Oryctolagus cuniculus: one gene and its partner. The protein of the gene in region 1 purifies or fractionates together with the protein of each later gene. This does not show direct contact. Links are inferred from orthologs where the notes say so. Each region holds a gene or a part of one and is shown on either strand. Other genes may lie near its edges.

Region 1 (8,910 bases):
GCTGATCCGATGGCAGGAGCCAGGTGCTTTTCCTGGTCTCCCATGGGGTGCAGGGCCCAAGCACCTGGGCCATCCTCCACTGCACTCCCTGGCCACAGCAGAGGGCTGGCCTGGAAGAGGGGCAACCAGGACAGAATCTGGCGCCCCAACCGGGACTAGAACCTGGTGTGCCGGCGCCGCTAGGCGGAGGATTAGCCTAGTGAGCCGCGGCGCCGGCCCAGGAGCAAGGGTCTTCTTCAGGTCTCTCATGTGTGGCAGGGGCCCTAGCACTTGGGCCTCTTCCACTGCTTTCCCAGGCCATAGCAGAGAGCTGGAACAGAAGAGGAGCAGCTGGGACACAAACCGGTGCTTGTATGGGTTGCTGGCGCCACAGGAGGACGTATAACCTGCTACACCACAGCTCGGCCCCAGCTTTTTTGTGTTTTACAGCAGTGACTTCATTCCCGCTTTTATATTATTTTACTTTTTTTTTTAAACTTAGTTTCATTTTTAATTTGAAAGCAGAGAGACAGAGAAATCTTCCATCTGCTGGCTCCTTTCTCAAATGCCAGCAACAGCCAGGGCAGGGCCAGGAGAAAGCCAAGAGCCCAGCTCTCAATCTAGGTTTCCCATGTGGCTGGCAGGGACCAAGTACTTGAGCCATCGTTTGCTGACTCCCAGGGTGCACCTGAGCAGAACGAGGGGTTGGAAGCAGAGCTGGGAGTTGACCAGTCCCTCCGATATGGGAAGCAGGCATGCCAAGCATCAACTTAACCAGTTTGCCCATTTTTTTTAAATGAACTTTTAATTTTGGAATAATTTTATAGACTTAAAGAAAAGGTTCAAAGATAGTGTAGGACATTCCTATGTACATTTCTCCCAATTTCCCTTCATGTTGATATCTTACATGAGCATAACATGTTTTTCAAAAACTACAAGATTGCTGTTAACTAAACACCAGATTTTATTTGAATCTTTGCCAGATTTTCCACTCATGTCCTTTTGCTGCTCCAGAATCCAGTCTGGGATACCACATTGAGCCACCCTGGATCATTTTGGTTTATTTGAGGATCACGCGAATGAAGAACTGTGTGTAACCTGCTCTCTGTTCTGCCTTTCCAACAGTGTTCTCTGATTTTAAGGACTTAATTGGCCAGATTTTAATGGAAGTACTAATGATGTCTACTCAGACAAGAGATGAAAACCCCTTTGCCAGTCTGACAGCCACATCCCAGCCCATTGCAGCAGCAGCTCGGTCACCAGACAGAAATCTCATGCTGAATGCTGGCTCCAACCCAGGAACAAGCCCCATGTTCTGCAGTGTGGGCTCCTTCGGGGCCAGCTCTTTGTCTAGGTCAGTGTGGTTCTCTCTGCACATCTGATTGGTTAGCTGTGAAATACATAAGAAAAGGGAGGGTTTACTCATGATGAGAATCTGTGTCACACAGATTACGGTATATAGTCTGTTTGGGGGTTGGGTTCAGTCGTTGGAAGTGATATCATTTCCAAATTGGGGGTTTTTTGGTGGTGTTTTGTTACTTTGCTATCCACGGTTAGGCCATTGGCAGTTAAATCTTAGAAGCAAATGGCTGTCTGCTATACTATTTACTGAGGAGTGGGCTTTATAAATGTAGCCCATGGCTGAGTCCATAATTAGGTTATGGTTATTTAGATGTTTGCAGATACAGGATGTAACTGTACACTTCTTTAAAATCCTGATGCTTTCCATTTTAGTTACTTATCTCAAATGTTTCTTTGATTTTCTCTTCTCTCCTCCCTCCCTCTACTAATGTAGCCTCTATGAAACTAGCCCTACCCCCATTGCCAGTTTCTGGAGCTCTGTGCCCACGCTAGGTCCACCCTCTGCCTCACCCTCCCGGGCAGCCAGCCAGGTGGCCACGCCTTCTGCCTCTGCTTCCCTCAGTCCTCACAGCACAGCTTCTGGAACTGCTCTAGGAAGCCAGCCCTCGTCTCCCCGCTATCGCCCCTACACTGTCACCCACCCGTGGGGGGGTGCCCCCTGTCCCACCCCCCGGTCCCCCAGCATCAGCGTCCCGTCAAGCTCCCCAAGCCTCCGTGCGCTCACCAGTAGCCCCCAGGCAGTACCCACTAGCAGTTCCAGACAGCGGCCCAGCAGCATGGGCCCGCCCTTCCCGCCCGCCTCGCCCAGTGCTACACGCAGACGTCTGTCCCCCCTGAGGACCTCTCCTAGGTATCGGTCAGCAAGCAGCTGCGTGTGCGTGTGCAGTGCAGGGAAATGAGGTTAACATGCTTTGGGAGAACCGCTGTGTGGCACTGACCTCAGGGGTATTTGGGGGTTGTTTTGGGGTTATTAACCCGTATCGCTGGCTGACTCCGCACTTCTGCAAGACCTTGACCGCGTCCGAAAGCGTGGGCTGCTCTCTTGTTGCACATCCCTCTCTTCCCTCCTCCTCTGTGTACAAAAGGGAGAGAGAATGAACTTTGTTTCCTGCAGTCTGGTTCACCTGTCATTTGTTGCAGATGAATTTCAGAGACTGTGGTCAGGGCTGTCTTTGAGTTGGGGCTCACAGCACCTCTTTGAGTTTCTGTGCTGGTGCCATTGGTGGCTAAAACACCATCAGAGCGGGGAGCTGGGGGGCACATCTGGGCCCGGCGCCTTTTGCTTCTGCTGAGTGGCGCTGCTGCCTTGACACTTTGATTTTGGTTGCATGTCACTTCCGCCTCTTAGAAAGAAGCAGAGTTCCACGAAGGCGGCCCCTCCTCTCAGATGTCCCGCTGTGCTTCTGCATGGCAGTGGACGAAGCTTCTAGGGAAGGTTTCCGTAAGAAGACAGCGGCTGCGAAAGCTCTCCGCGTCTTGTTTCTCCTTTGCCCTGACTGCCTTTTTTGCTTTCTGTTGTGAGGTAGTGTGTACGACAATCCCTTCTCCTTCCTCTTCCTCGCACTTGCTGGGGACAGTAGTGATGAAGAAGATGAAGAGGATGATGATGATGATGGTGATGATGATGATGAAGGTGGTGGTGGTGGTGATGATGTTTCTTGTGTCCAGTTTGGGTCCAGGTATCAGGAGTGCCGGCTCACCCTGCATGTGCATAGTGCTTACGAACTAACTTGTGAGCCCTAATGAGGGTGCGCTTTGACTGCAGGCAGGAGAGGGTCAAGTGGGGGGCTAGGCAGTGTGTAAGTGTCAGGACCTTCTCGTGATAAAGGGGCACGTGGCACATTGTCATTGCTGTTGTCTGGTAAGTGTGGAAGACAACTGTATGTGTCATTGTTTACTACAAACCTGAAAGCAAACTAAATCATCACTCAGTTCCCCCGCCTCTAGGTCTGGAACTCTTCCTTTGTCCGTTGTGAGAGTGTTCCTGTGAGTCATCCACTGCTTTCCGAAATGCAGCTGCAAGGGTTACTGCTGTGGAGGATGGCAGAGGGCTGGGACCTGGGGTGTGTGTGAGCGGGAGAGGGGAGAGAGAAGCAGATCCCGTGAAGGACATTCCGTCTGAGGGAACAGGGATCCTGCTTTCGCTTCTAACCCTGAATTTCTCTGAGCACCTTCTTGACCTCAGTGAAGCCAGACTCCGTGTAAAGGAGCCTTCGGGAGGGCGGCAGAGGCTGACGCAGGGTTCCTGATGCTGCCACATGTGCACCCCCGAAGACAGAGTGAAAAGTGCTACTAGGGTTTTCTAGGTGACTTGGAGTAAGAAAGTGCACTAGCACTTTCTTTCTAATGCCCGACTCACTGCTGAACACTTTGGTTCCTAATTGGAAGTTTCCTCTGCACCAAGTCAAAGCTTCTGCCCGCACCGTTCAAATAACTGCCGAGGATCGAGAGACTGCAGGAGCCGTCAGGTGCACGGCGCTGAGCTGGGCGGAATTCAGGAGAAGGCTTGCAGGATAGAGGAGGGAGCCGTGCAGGGAGTCGCTGGACATTCCGTCACTGCTTCTCCAGGACGGATCCCAGAGGTGGGCGTGTCTCTTCACGCAGCGGGAGTTCTGCTAAGTCAGCAGGCCTCCTCCTGAGGAGCCCGTCTCCACCCCTGGCAAAGCTTGGTCTCTTCCACTACAGAGTTCACCCTTCTTCCCCCCTCCCTCCCTGGACATCTCCCCTCACCTCTGTGTGTTGTGTGCATACTGTCTCATCAGAGGGTCACTGACCCTGACCCCTGACCTCATCACATTAAACACGATGTGCCCCCTCCCTCTGCTGTGCGCTGCAGGTATTTGGCTCCATAGCACGCGCCTAGTTGGTTTTTAACTGCCACTCCCCTCAGTGTAACGGCCACATCTACAAGGCCTCCGTCCGTTTGATTCAGTGCTGTGCCCCGGGGCCTCCGGTGGTGCTTGGCATGCATCTCTTGAATGAGTTTATGGAACTTGAACCTGCACAAGTCTGACTGCCTCACATTGCGAAAAGCAGGATTTCCAGGCTGCCGTTGAGAAGTTAGTAGAGGGGGGGAGCTGCAGCAGAGTCCCTTTGGGAAGCAGGTTGTCTGGGGTGTAAATGGGATTCAGTCTGCGCTCGTGGGACGGCGTTACCTCCCCATGAGTCGTTTCATCGTGTTTTCAGAGGATTGAGCTATGTTTCTTCTGTTGTTAAGACTTTTAAAAATGTATTTGGAAGGCAGAGTGACAGGAGAGAGAATCTTCCATGTAATGGTTCACTCTCCAGATGGCCACACTGGGGCTGAGCCACACTGAAGCCAGGTGGCAGGGACTTAATGCCATCTTCTGCTGTTTGCCACACACATCAGCAGGGAGCTGGGCGGAGGCAGCGTGGCTGGGACGGAACACAGACTGGAGCCAGTGTACAAGATGTGTGTGTCCCAAAGGGCAGCCTAACCTGCTGTGCCACTATGTGGACCCCCAAGCTGCTTTTTGATTAGGTGCATTACACGATTAAGTGGGACTGCTGATGGAGGCATCAAAAGGCAGTTCACATCCTCTCCAAGAGGGAGGTATAATTTTTTAGATCCTCTTAGGACTTCACTGTGATATGTTTCTAAGATTTCAGCATATTGCAGTTGTAAAAGCATCATGAATTTTTAAAAAGTTTTTGAGGAAAAATGAAGAGCTACTTTAAATATTTTAGAGGTTTATTGATAGTATAAATTTATACATATAAATTATGCATCACTCCTTCAGAATGGCCTTCAAAATTCAAATCCAACTCTTTCACTTTGAATCTAAAAAATCCCCATAAGTCAACTTTGACCATTGACACTTGGGCTGAGCTTTGGTGAGCCTGGCCACTCTCCATGCTATGGTTCTGAGTTCCTTTGGCATGTTTAGGGTGGGTCCTATTATTTGGGGCTTATTCTACATTCTCATTTTTTTAAAAAATTCCTATTTGGTTTTATTTATTTATTTTTAAAGATTTATTTATTTATTTGAAAGAGTGAGAAGGAGAAAGGGAGGGGGAGAGGTCTTCCATTCACTGCTTCACTCCCCAATTGGGCGCAACGGCTGGAGCTGCGCGGATGCGAAGCCAGGAGCCAGGAGCTTCTTCCAGGTCTCCCATGCAGGTGCAGGGACCCAAGGACTTGAGCCATCTTCCACTGCTTTCCCAGGACATAGCAGAGAGCTGGAAGTGGAGAAGCCGGGACTCGAACCAACACCCATATGGGATGCCGGCACTGCGGGTGGTGGCTTTACCTGTATGCCACAGTGCCAGCCCCTCCTATTTAGTTTTATTTCATCCACCTCCCACTCCTGCTTCTTTATCTTGAAAGTCATCTGGCTGTTTGGTACGTTACCAATTATCACTAAAATACACCAAACTCTTTTACCTTTGAAAATTCTCTATTTTTTTAATAATTAATTAAGAGCCAGAGATGCAGTCAGACAGAGAGGACGCACCCACTGGCCGACTCCCCAAATGCCTGTAATGACTCTGGGCTGAGGACCAAAGCCAGGAGGCAGAGACTCAATCCAGGTCTCCCTGTGAATGGCAAGAACCCAATTATTGGAGCCATCACTGCTGTAGCCTTACACAGTCTGTGTTAGCAGACAGCTGGAGTCAGGAGCGAAGGTCAGGAATTGAACCCAGACTCTCCACTATGGGATGTGGGCACCTTAACATCTGCCATCTAATATATTCTGAGTGCCTTCTGATGTATTGCCTGGCATAAGATAAAGTCTTCTACAAACATTGTTGCTTTTCATGTCTTAGTGAAATACTTTGAAAAATATTTCAAGTGACAGTGAGGGGTTTGAATTTAAGGAAAATTAAAAGGAACATGGGGCCAGCATTGTGCTGCAGTGGGTTGAGCCACTGTCTGCATGCCAGCATCCCATGTGAGTGTCTGTTCTAGTCCTTGCTACTCTAATTCTCATCCAGCTTCTTGCTAATGTGCCCAGGAAAGCAATGGAAGATGGCCTAGGTTTGTGGGCCCCTGCCATCTACCCATTCACGTGGGAAACCTGGATGGAGTTCTGGCTTCTGGCTTCGGCCTGGCCAAGCACAGGGCCATTAGGCCATTTGGGGATAAAAGATTTCTCTCTCTCTCTCGTCTCCCTCTTTTTCTGTAACTCTGCCTTTCAGAGTCATTTATATTAGAGCCACAGACAAAGTGAGGGAGAGACAAAAAGAAAGGTCTTAAATCTGCTGGTTCACTCCCCAAATGGCCTCAGTGGTTGGAGCTGAGCCGGTCCGAAGCCAGGCACTTCCCCTGGGTCTCCCAGGCGGGTGCAGGGGCCCAAGTATTTGGTCCATCTTCCACTACTTTCCCAGGCCATATCAGAGAGCTGGATCAGAAAGAGGAGCAGCTGGGACTAGAACTGGCATCCATATGGTCTGCCGGCGCCATAGGCAGAGGTTTAACCTCCTATGCCATAGCACTGGCCCTTCAAATAAATAAATCTTTATTTATTTTAATTTTTAAAAAATATTTATTTATTTGAAAGTCAGAGTTACACAGAGAGAGGAGAGGCAGAGAGAGAGAGGTCTTCCATCTGCTGGTAAACTCCCCAATTGGCCACGACGGCCGGAACTGCGCCAATCTGAAGCCAGGAGCTTCTTCTGGGTCCCCCATGCGGGTGCGGGGGCCCCAGGACTTGCGCCATCTTCTACTTCTTTCCCAGGCCGTAGCAGAGAGCTGGATCAGAAATGGAGCAGCCAGGTCTTGAACCGGCGCCCATATGGGATGCCGGCGCTTCAGGCCAGGACGTTAACCCGCTGCACCATAGCACCGACCCTAATAAATAAATCTTTAATAAAAAAAGAAATCATACTTCAAATTTGGAATTAGAAAAGTTAAAAGGAACGTCTTGCTGAGAATGGACTCAGAGGAATGGCAGTCGCGGGAGGCAGCGCCCTCTAAGGAGTTTCTCCGCTGCCTGTGGACCCACATCCAGCTGTCTCCTTGCAGCTGTCAGGGCCGCTCGCTGTCAAACACAAGATACTTTTCATTTCAGACATCTAAAAGTGCAAGGAATATTGGGCCTATTATCCAGGAAACGTAGAGTTTAAAATTTTCATTCTAAACAAGCAGATGATATATTTTCATTGTTATCTACGAGAACTGCTCAGAGGAAAGTTAGCCTCAGCGATGCACAGATAGAAGCCTGCATGATCAGAGTTCACGTTTGGGAAGTGCCGTGAATATAGTCAGGAGACAGTAACGTCAGGGGAAGAGTCTCAGCTTGAAACACAGCGCGCTGCAGGTAGACTGTCTCTGTTTCCCTCTCTTATTTGTCGTTTTGTTATCCATGTGTTGCTTTTTCTGAGCTTTCTGTTGTCAGACCAACTAGCAGATACCAGATCCTACCATTAATTAGCACAGTGTACCAAAAACTATCAGACATGAGCATTTTGTTTTTGTAGGATTTCCTTCCCATGTTGGTGAGCTGCTTTGTGGTTGGCTCAGTTAACCTGCCCAGGTGGCTGGGAGTCGGCGGCCTTACTCCTGTGAGTGCCCCACAGCCTCGCCTGCTCCGTCCCCTCCTTGCAGACCCAGATTTTAGGTCATAGGAGCTGAAACTTACGAGGCTCTGGGCTGAAAGCCTAGAATTTAAAGTTTGTGCTGTTTTCACCTTCTTTACTGAAATGCCTTCATATCACAATTTCACTTCAAGGTTAATTGTATTTTTCCTGAAATTCTAAGGTCAGTTATGTATGTATTCCAGAATGAGTTACGTGGATCTGTCTGTGTGTATAACATGCCGATCTCTCAATTCTTCTCAGTTCTTTTAGTTTAGTTTATTATTTTTTTGTTAACTTCTCAAGCAATGTGGTTTTTCTAAGGTTTATTTAATTGAAAGGCAGAGTTCCAGAGAGAGGGAGAGAAAGAGAGAGAGGTGTTCTATCTGATGGGTCACTTCCCAAATGGCTGCAATGGTCAAGCAGAAACCAGGAGCCAGGAGCTCCATCCAGGTCTCCCACCATTACTTGGGCCGGCTTCCATTGCTTTCCGAGGCACATTGGCAGGAAGCTAGATTGGAAATGGGACAGCTGGAACGCAAACTGGTGCTCATGTGGGATGCTGGCACCACAAGCAGCAGCCACAGCGCAGGCCCTTGGTCCTGTATTGTCTGCCCCAGGTGGAAGCCAGCAGGTGCTTCAAGCTGCTCGTGTTCTTCCCCCCTTCTAGCATCTTCACTTGGGATTTTTTCAAACTGAGATTACGTTTTCACTTCCTCTTCATTTTAAACTCTCAGCTGCTTTCTGTGTCGTGATTAATTTCTTCATATCTTTTGTGTATACCAGTTAAGTCTGCAAATTAAACACCAGATCTGGTATATGACCTGTCAGTGATTGAGTTTAAATTTCCTCAAACGTAACCCTTGAGAATATCTTTGGGTTCTGTCTCAGAGAATAGTTATGACTAATAACAGCAGTGTTTCCTGTTGTCACTGCTCATATTCCCCAGAGTGCTTGCTCAGGATTTCATGGAAGCCTCCCCACAGGTGAGGCACAGGCTGTGGGCTTGGGTAACAAGCAGTGAAGCCGGGA
Region 2 (9,621 bases), on another chromosome or scaffold:
GGTAAACATTCATTTACTTCCTAGGTCTATCCACTGAGATGACGGGAAATGACACCCCCACCCAATGAGCACACCGAGCACGCAGACTTGGATTCTAAATACCATTCTTCTCTAAAAGGAGCCAAGGCTCTTGGAGAAATGACGGCTACGACGCACTTAGTGCAGCTCTCCCACAGAGCTTATGAAGCCAGCGGACAGGCGATCAGCCTATGAAGCCAGCGGACAGGCGATCAGCCTATGAAGCCAGCGGACAGGCGATCAGCCTATGAAGCCAGCGGACAGGCGATCAGCCTATGAAGCCAGCGGACAGGTGATCAGCCTATGAAGCCAGCGGACAGGTGATCAGCCGCCACTCGAGACGGCTGGTGCGATTTAAGGCATCAGTGTGTCCGCTGGGGGTACTGTATTCTGTTCCTGATCTGGATGGGCTGTACCGTGTCTATGCAGCAGAACGTGCCCTTGCGTTCAGGAAACATCCATGAATATTTCAGGTTCATGGGACATTATGTACGCAACTGGCTCTCCAACGCCCTCAAATGGGAAAAAGGAATAAAGCATGTCTAGAATGACAGAGAAAGAATGGTAGGTAAGGGGCCGGCACTGTGGCGCAGTGGGTGTAAGCCCTGGCCTGGGGCGCCAGCATCCCATATGGGCGCCAGTTCTAGTCCCAGCTGCTCCTCTTCTGATCCAGCTCTCTGCTGTGGCCTGGGAAAGCAGTGGAAGATGGCCCAAGTCCTTGGGCCCCTGCACCCACGTGGGAGACCAGGAAGAAGCTCCTGGCTGCTGGCTTTGGATCAGCGCAGCTCCAGCCCTTGTGGCCATCTGGGGAGTGAACCAGCGGATGGAAGACCTCTCTCTCCCTCTCTCTGCCTCTTCTCTCTCTGTGTAACTCTGACTTTCAAATAAAATAAATAAATCTTTTAGAAAAAATGATAGGTAAATGTAAAATGCTAATAATTGGGGACTTTGGGTAAAGGGTAGAAGGGAGCTATTTCACACTACTTTTGCAACACTGCTGTCAACTTGAAATTGTTTAAAAAAAGCAAAAATATATTTTCAAAGACAATTTTAACATGAGAAAATATTCAAACTAAGTGAAACGTTATTAATTTTTTTTTTTGACAGGCAGAGTGGACAGTGAGAGAGAGAGACAGAGAGAAAGGTCTTCCTTTGCCGTTGGTTCACCCTCCAACAGCCACCGCGGCTGGCGCGCTGCGGCCGGCGCACCGTGCTGATCTGATGGCAGGAGCCAGGTACTTCTCCTGGTCTCCCATGGGGTGCAGGGCCCAAGCACTTGGGCCATCCTCCATTGCACTCCCGGGCCACAGCAGAGAGCTGGCCTGGAAGAGGGGCAACCGGGACAGAATCCGGCGCCCCGACCGGGACTATAACCTGGTGTGCCGGCGCCGCAAGGCGGAGGATTAGCCTAGTGAGCCGCGGCGCCGGCTGTGAAATGTTATTATACAAGCATGTAGAACTATCTAAGTTTTGTTGAAGACGTGTTATTTAAATCAATCAACTGTGTTTATTTTTTAAATGCAGAGTGACAGAGAGAAAGAGACAAAGAGAGACACACACAGAGAGAAAGAGCTCTTCCATTCGCTGGTTCATTCCTCAATGGCTGCTACAGCCGGGGTTGGGCCAGGCAGGAGCGTTAGCGGGTCTCCCATGTAGGCGAGGGCCCAAGCACATGGGCCCGCATCTGCTGCTTTCCCAGGTGCACGTGGGCTGGCAGCAGAGCAGCTGGGCCTGGAACTGGCACTCACACAGGATGCCAGCCTTGCAAGCAGCTGACGAACAACGCTGAGACAACACCAAGTTCTCGACTATATTTTCAGAAGCATAAAGTAAGCTAACAATTGCCGTCAGTCTGTGCTAGAATACCCATCCTATATCAAAACAAAACAGAATGTGAGCACCCATGCCACCAGAAGTCAGTGTATTCTGTAGATGTAGCTATCTTTGGGTACAGGAATCAAGATGCGTGGTACTGGCACAACGACAGAAAACTGTATTGATGGTGGGGCAGGTGTCTGAGTCAGTGGTTAACGGGCTGTTAGGGAGGCTGGCGCTGTGGCACAGAGGGGTAGGCTGTTGGCCTGCACTGCCAGCACCCCATACTGGTGCCAGTGCAAGCCCCGGCTGCTCCACTTCAGATCCAGCTGCCTGCTAATGCCCCTGGGAAAGCAGCAGCAGATGGCCCAAGTGCTGAGACCCTGCACCCACGTGGGAGACCAGGAAGAAGCTCTAGGCCCTGCTCCGCCCATTGTAGCCATCTGGGGAGTACACCAGGGGGTGGAAGATCTGCCTCTCCCTCTTTCAAATCCATCAACCTAAAAAAAAAAAAAAAAACACACACTAATGGGACAGAATTGACAGAAACTGACTCATACACAGTCACCTGATTTTTGACTTTCACAATAAAACTTTCCGTGAATATTTGCTAATGGTTTGCTCACACACACACACACACACACACACGCTCAGTTTGGCTCTCTTATTTCCTGTCAGACAGCTTTGGCTTGCTCCAAAGAGCATTTATGTTGCTTTGCCATGAGCCTCAGGACCAGCTTTGGGTGTTCCTGCACAGCCTTGGAAAGTCCCCCTCACACGGGCACAAAGACACGTTTCGGTTTCCGATTCTCGGGTGAGCCCCGACTTTCACACATCAACTCCCCGCCCACTGCCCTCGCCGGGCCAGGCAGAGAGAACTTCCCGTACCCTCCCTGCAGGCTGGCCGTGACCTTCCCCGCTCTCCGCCCTTTCACTTAGGGTGCAGCTATTTTAAGGGTTTCAACTTCAGGCGGAGCTGGTTGTCAGTTTCAGCATCTCAGGTGTTAAAGCAAAAACTCCCGCAAGGTTGCCCAGACCGCAAGTCTTTCTGGGGAGGGGCCCAGCGGCGCTGACGCTCACCGCTGCGTTTCGGTTCCTCCATCTCCGGCGGGGGCTTTTCCACTTCTCCTGGGACTGCAGCCGTGCGGTCCTCATGTATGACTCCATTCACGCTTGGGTTGCATAGAATTATTAGTATTCTACACACACTTGGGCTGGGACTTTTGCTGCTACCTCGCCAGACCCAGAAATCCTTGTATTAATTTCAAAAGCAGGAAAGAACGCTATTTGTAACATGTCAGCACCCACGTGCTGTGAGGGGTGCTGCGTGGGCTGCTCGCTCTCTTGCCGGTTCTGATGGCCCAGCGCTATCTCAGAGCCCCTCACCGTGGACGGGCCGAAGGGCTGGGCCTGCTCCTGCGTCCCGGTCTTGTGTCCAGGTTAGCATTTTCTCTAGGACCCGGCCGACCCTCACGTTGGAGCCCAGCGCCCATCCACGGCTGGGTTCCCAAAGAATCTGTTTATTCCCTCATCCACTTGCTCATCTCCTCTTGGGGAGCAAGACAGCTAGAGCGCATAGCTGTGGCCCGAAGAATCCATCCAACACTTCCTTACTGCGCACCCACTATGGGCCAGGCCCTAGTCCGGTGGAGGGCAGGACAGAGTCCATTCCCCCACGGAGAGGCCAAAACTACTCTAAAGAACATATTCACAAGCTCCCAGCGCGGTCAGACAGGGTCGCGGGCTCCTGCTGCAGGCGCCAAGGCACAGTACGGACGTCTGATAACAAGACGGGCAGCGTGGTCAGCGAGGCAGACAGGACCCCAAATAGGGCGGGATGGTTGGGGCGACTCCTGAGACGTGGCGTGGCTAAGGGCGGGCCGGTAGGGTGGGCTAAGGGGGCGCCTATGGGGACAGCCATGAGGGGCCTGGGCTTCCGTCCGAAGCCAGGGCAGACCCTGGGGGAGCCCAGCAGGAGGGCGGTCATCCTGTGGCCGGTGTCCGAAGCCAGGGCAGACCCTGGGGGAAGCCCATCAGGGGCGGGGGTCATCCTGTGGCCGCTGTCCGAAGCCAGGGCAGACCCTGGGGGAGCCCATGGCGGGGGTCATCCTGTGGCCGGCGTCCGAAGCCAGGGCAGACCCTGGGGGAGCCCCGCAGGGGGGCGGTCATCCTGTGGCCGGCGGAGCAGCCCCGGCGGCCGCCATCGTCTACCTCGCCACCTCCGGACATCCACCCTTTCTGCGGCGGCTCCTCTCGGGGCTCCAGGCCACCCCACCCCGAGCCCGGTCCGGAGTCTCTCTCCAGCACGGAAGCTAACTCTAAACTCGTGCAAACTCCCCCTCCGCACCCCGCCGCGGCAGAGGGCGCCCCGGGAGCCCCTCCGGGACCAAAGCCGGGCGCACACCGGGACGCCCCCATGGGTAAGTCGCTGGCGGCGGGCGCAAAAGAGGCCGACTCCACGCGTGGGCGGAGAGCCCACCGGCGACGGGCGTAGCGAAGGGAAGGAGGGGTCGCGGCGGGACGCGGGTCAGGGGCCGCCGAGGGCCCAGCGGCGGGCGTCTCCACCGCCGGACCCCACACGCTCCTCAGCGGCGCGCGGGAACCGCCGGGCTGGACACTGTCTTTGAAACAAAAAAAAACGAAAAAACCCACAAATGCCTGTCCCGCGACTCGCGGGGGCGGAAGATGCGGGACGCTGCCCACAGAGAGGCGAGGCGCAGCGCTCCCGCGGGGCAGTTCGAACATCCCGGAAGCCGCGCCCTCCCCGGAACCGGAAGCGTCGCCGCCACGAGCCCGCCCGGGGCGGGGCCACGGCGGGGACTGCAACTCCCACAATGCAGCGCGGCGCTTCCGGTTTCCGGCGCGAGGGCCTGAGTGAGTGTTTACACCGGCGGCCCTGCGGCCGGGTTCCTTCCGCGGGACGGGTGAGGGCGCCGGGCCCCGGGTCGCGCGGGCTGCACGGGGGGCGACTGGTTAACTGGCCGCGCGAGAGCGCTGGGGTCGCCGTGGGACAGCGCCCCTGCCCCCACCCGTCCCTGTCCGTGATCGTGACCGGGTCTCGATCGCGGCGTCGAGTGGAGGGATGGTGCTGCCCGCCTCGGGAACGCGTGTCCGGCTTCAGTGAGCGCGGTGCATATAAAAAGCCCCCTTCCCGCATCTCTTCCCTGTCTTGAACCTGGGGTGGGAGGTCCCTTGGGGGTGCAGCCTCGTGGCCTTTTCCGTCCTCTCTGCTGCCAGAGGCCTGCTTGAGGCGGTAGCGATGCCTGTGACAAGGGCCTGACCCGAGTCTCCCACCCTCAGAGGTTCCCGATTTATTTTCTGGCCGGCCGTGTGTACCAGGGACGGAGACCCTAAAGGCGGCAGATTTTAGGGTCTTCTTGGCAGTGTGGGGCGGGGGCGGGGGCGCTGATGGGAAGCTGTAGCCCCCTTTGCCTCCAGGGGGCAGGGGACGTGGACACGGAGGAGGTTGTAGGTGGGTCGGTCTTGCTAGAAGTGTGCCAAGAGGCCAGAAAGGGAAGAGGACACGGGTGAGCGGGCCTGTGCCCTGGGCGGTGGGCGGTGGGCGGCGAGGTGGGGCCGGGCGGAGCTCTGATGGGGCGGAACCTTCAAGCCGGGCCGTGCAGGTCAGAGCGTGGAGCCGCTGGAGCGGTCATAAGCAGAGAAGTGACCGGACCGCACCTGCGTGTCAAAGCGCTGGGGGGCCGGCCCGGGGGGAGGGGCAGCGGTTAAAGGCCCCGCCCGGGCGCCGCCTCCCACGTCGCAGTGCGGGGGTTCAAATCCCAGCTCCTCCTGCTGCACTTCAGCAGGTGAGGGCTCAAGGAGCTGGACCTCGGCCATGCACCTGGGACACGTGGGTTGAATTCGGGGCCCCCAGACACTGGCCGATGGGCAATGGAGAGTGGCAGGTGTCTGTTTCCGTGCCTTGCAAATAAAATGTAAATAAATCAGGTTTACGATGGTGAGTTGGGTGGCCTCGTGGAGGTTTGGTGAGAGGCAGCAGGCAGAGAACTTGCTATGAAGCCGGGAGTGAGTGGGTAGACGAGAGGGGGCTGGGTGGTTTCCTTTGGGCCTCAGGACATTCCTGTGGGGTTGGATGGTGCTGCAGGCCCCTGCTGCCCGACGCAGGATGAGTGCTGGTTCTGGCCCAGATGCTGCATCCCGGGCTTCAGGACACCTGTCTCAGTCAGCCCCTTGGCAGGTGGGCGTGGTGGGGAGGGGCCTGAGCTCCGGCCACTGAGGCTGTGTTCTTTCACAGGGAGAAAGAGAGAGCGCGAACGAGAGAGGATGTCTCTCTCAGACTGGCACCTGGCAGTGAGGCTGGCTGACCAGCCCCTGGCCCCCAAGTCTGTTCTCCGGTTGCCAGAGACAGAACTGGGGGAATACTCGCTGGGGGGCTACAGTATCTCCTTCCTGAAGCAGCTGATTGCCGGCAAACTCCAGGAGTCTGTCCCGGACCCCGAGCTGATCGGTGAGCCTCCGCGTCGAGGTTGGGCGGCTCTCGGCTCTCTCTGAGGAGGGCGCTTCTGGAGTCCTGGGCTTGGATTTGTCTGGAGGTGTTGGTACACCAGGGACGTGCGTGTTGGCTGACCAGACACACGTGTCTTACAACAAAGCGGCTGGTTGCCGTCTCAGTCCGTGTTGTACTGACCGCTTCACCACCAGCTGCTCGCCTGTGACCTCACTGAGCTCTGCCTCTCGAAGGGCAGACACCTGGGAGGGAGGGTCGGCCGGGGAGGACTGCTCAGCGGGTAGCATTCGGGACGATCGATTGGAAGGTCTTTTTTGTTCTTGCATTGTCCCGTTCATTTGAATCTCGCAGCGTCCGCAGGGTTAAGCTGGAAAGCTTTTCTGTGCCAGTTTCCGTGTAACTCCATTTTATGAGTTTGTCCTAACAATTGTTAAAATCCATTGATTGAAGCCGGCATTGTGATACCGCCGCTCGTGATGCCGGCATCCCATACAGGTGCCGGTTTGAGTCCTGGTTGCGCTGCTTCCAACCCAGCTCCCTGCTAATGCGCCTGGGAAGCCAGCAGATGATGGCTCAAGAACTTGGGCCCTTACCACCCACGTGGGAGACCCGGATGGAGTTCCGGGCTCCCGGCTTCAGCCTGGTCCATCCCCGGCCATTGCAGCCATGTGGAGAGTGAGCCAACTGATGGAAGACCTCTGTCTCTGCCTCCCCCTCTACCCGGCTCTGCCTTTTGAAGAAAGAAATTTTTTTTTTTTTTTGACAGGTAGAGTTATAGACAGTGAGAGAGAGAGACAGAGAGAAAGGTCTTCCTTCCATTGGTTCACTCCCCAAATGGCCACTATGGCCAGAGCTGCGCCGATCTGAAACCAGGAGTCGGGTGCCTCCCCCTGGTCTCCCATGCGGGTGCAGGGCCCAAGCACTTGGGCCATCCTCCACTGCCTTCCTGGGCCACAGCAGAGAGCTGGACTGGAAGAGGAGCAACCGGGACTAGAACCCGGCGCCCATATGGGATGCCAGCGCCGCAGGCGGAGGATTAACCAAGTGAGCCACAGTGCCGGCCCCAAAAGAAATACTTTTTAAAAAATCTATTAAATAAGAGTGTCCTTTAAAGTGTACATCACTCCCCAGCTGTCTGTGCGACCAAAGTAAGGTTCTCCGGGGCCAGAAACTGTACATTGTTGGAGGAGCAAACTGTAAAGGGGCGGTTCTTCTCAGATTTGATCTACTGTGGCCGGAAGCTGAAAGATGACCAGACCCTTGACTTCTATGGCATCCAGCCTGGGTCCACTGTCCACGTCCTGCGCAAGTCCTGGCCTGAGCCTGATCAGAAACCGGGTGAGTAGGGGTCGGCCGTCGCACAAGTGGGCGGGCCTTCTGTGAGGGAGGGGTCAGCGTGCTCCCCAGGCAGCAGTAGGGGGGTTGGTTTGTTACTTACGGGATCAGACCGCGTTGGTAAACAGAGTCCCGTTTGGGCCTTGCTGGCCGCTGCGGTGAGATGTGTGTAAGTTCCACTCACTGCCCTCGCGGGGGTTGGAACGTGGGTCTGGTCACAGTGGCTCTGGGTCCCTCCTTTAGTGTTGTTCTCGGCCCCGGGAAAGCTCCGCTCTTCCTTCTCATTGGCAAATCCTCACGCACGTCCGCCCCTCGGGCCCCGTCAGCTGACTCCCCTGCCTTCCTGGTGTGCACGTGGCTCTTAGCGTGTGCAGAGCTCCGAGGCCTCCTGATCCACCCACAGAAGGCGCCGCTTGGAATTCCCAGTGGAAATCTGTTCGGCGTACTAGCTCCCCCGCCCCCAGGGTAAAGCCACGTTGTGTGAGAGAGATTGACTTGTTCGACTCGCTGTTGTGATGTTCGCGATCGCTGTGACGAGCTGTCAGCCTAGGCCGACATTCCTGCCGGGAACGGGAAGGACAGACCATCTCCTGACGGCAGCGAGGAAGAGAGGGGCAGCCCTGCAGTGCTGTGGGCCTGGACACCTGCGCCGGCCGCCGGCCTCGCACAGGGACACCTGCGGCCACTGTGGGTCAGGCCAGAAGCAGGGTCCAAGCCTAACGCCTGGCCCAGACAGCCCCTCTCCTGGCACGCTGCCTTTCCCCACGTGCACCTGTCGTTTTCCTTCCTTGTAGATGAGAGTTCTAAAAGACGCCCAGTCGTGAGATCACCCCACTCTGCCTCTGCAGACCTCCCAGCCCCAGCCCAAGCCCGAAGCCTGCGTCTCTGGCTGGAGCAGTGGGCCCAGCTTGCTCGGATGCGGGCGGGCCGCGTGCTCTCTGGCTGGAGGAAGTTGACAGAAGGAAGAAACATGTGTGGCTCCCGTGAGCCAGGCTTTCCCTTTGATGCCACACTCCATCATCCCAGCGGCCCTGCAGGGGCGGCGGCGGCATGAGCGCTCCGTAGATGCAGAGGCCTGCAGGGGTATTATTCAAGGTCACCTACTCAGAAAGCAGAGCTGGGGCGGGACCTGGGTTTTCCTGGCCTGCAGAGCCTGGCTTCTTCCTGCCCCTCTTAGCCCGTTGCCAGCTCGGGATAGGACGAGGCCTTCTCCTGGACATTTATGTTTGAAACAGATGGACTTCGAGATCTCGAAAGAAATTGATTTGTGACACCATTCAGACTTTCTCCGTGGGCACTGCTCCAAGGAAGCACGTCTCTGGCTCTCCTGCTGGATGGGAGCCAGCCCTAGATGTCCTCGGTCCTGTGGGGCGGGAGACGGAGCCCTGAATTCAGGGTCTCACGTCAGCCTGCTCTAGGCCCACGGGTGTGCACGTGCCCCGAGCTGCAGTCCCAGGCAGCCGCTTGCTGCTCCTTCAGCACCCACATTCTGCTTTGTGCGTGTTCCTGCTGAGGCTCGGGGTACCTTCTTCCCCCAGGAAACACCTCTGCGGGAGGCAGCCGTGTGTCCTGGCCCTGCCTCAGTGATGGCCGTCCGCCGCCACGTTCCCAGTGTCCGAGCTAGGACGAGATCTCCGCTGGCGTGTGTGACCGTGGGCTTGTCCGTTGCATCCGGTCTCCTTTCTCCTGCCAGGGGCTCCCTGGTGGCGGGTTCTTGCCTGCAGTCCTGTGCCTGGCCCAGAGCCAGGTGTGGGCTTCACGCGCAGCAGGTGCCTTGGGTCACTTAGGTGCATATTTGTCGAAGGAGGCACCCTCATGAGGAGCACCGAGCCAGGGGCACGCTGCCAGGTTGCACCCCGGGGTGCTGTTCCCCTCGCTCTGGGAGTGTTGCCCTGGAGCTGGGTGGTGCAGAACGTGTAAGGTCACAGGGAGCGGCCTTGAGCAGTGCCCAGGGTGAGCTTCCCGCTGCTCCCCTCGCGCCACTC

Evidence for each region.
Region 2: the proteins of UBE4B (region 1) and UBL7 purify together in Homo sapiens (affinity purification with mass spectrometry; 3 studies listed by BioGRID and IntAct, counting the BioPlex papers as one, with this or other methods). This does not show direct contact. The link is inferred for Oryctolagus cuniculus from reciprocal best matches to the Homo sapiens genes UBE4B and UBL7.

What each region holds. Positions count from the first base shown.
Region 1 is NC_091438.1:158,077,524-158,086,433, reverse strand, and holds part of UBE4B (ubiquitin conjugation factor E4 B), read left to right. Parts: intron 1-1,104; coding exon 1,105-1,333; intron 1,334-1,774; coding exon 1,775-2,191; intron 2,192-2,867; coding exon 2,868-3,020; intron 3,021-8,910. UniProt on the Homo sapiens protein: Ubiquitin-protein ligase that probably functions as an E3 ligase in conjunction with specific E1 and E2 ligases. May also function as an E4 ligase mediating the assembly of polyubiquitin chains on substrates ubiquitinated by another E3 ubiquitin ligase.
Region 2 is NC_091443.1:109,214,037-109,223,657, forward strand, and holds the start of UBL7 (ubiquitin-like protein 7), read left to right. Parts: upstream 1-4,625; 5' UTR 4,626-4,667; coding exon 4,668-4,707; exon of another isoform or gene 4,708-4,962; intron 4,963-6,088; coding exon 6,089-6,301; intron 6,302-7,519; coding exon 7,520-7,639; intron 7,640-9,621.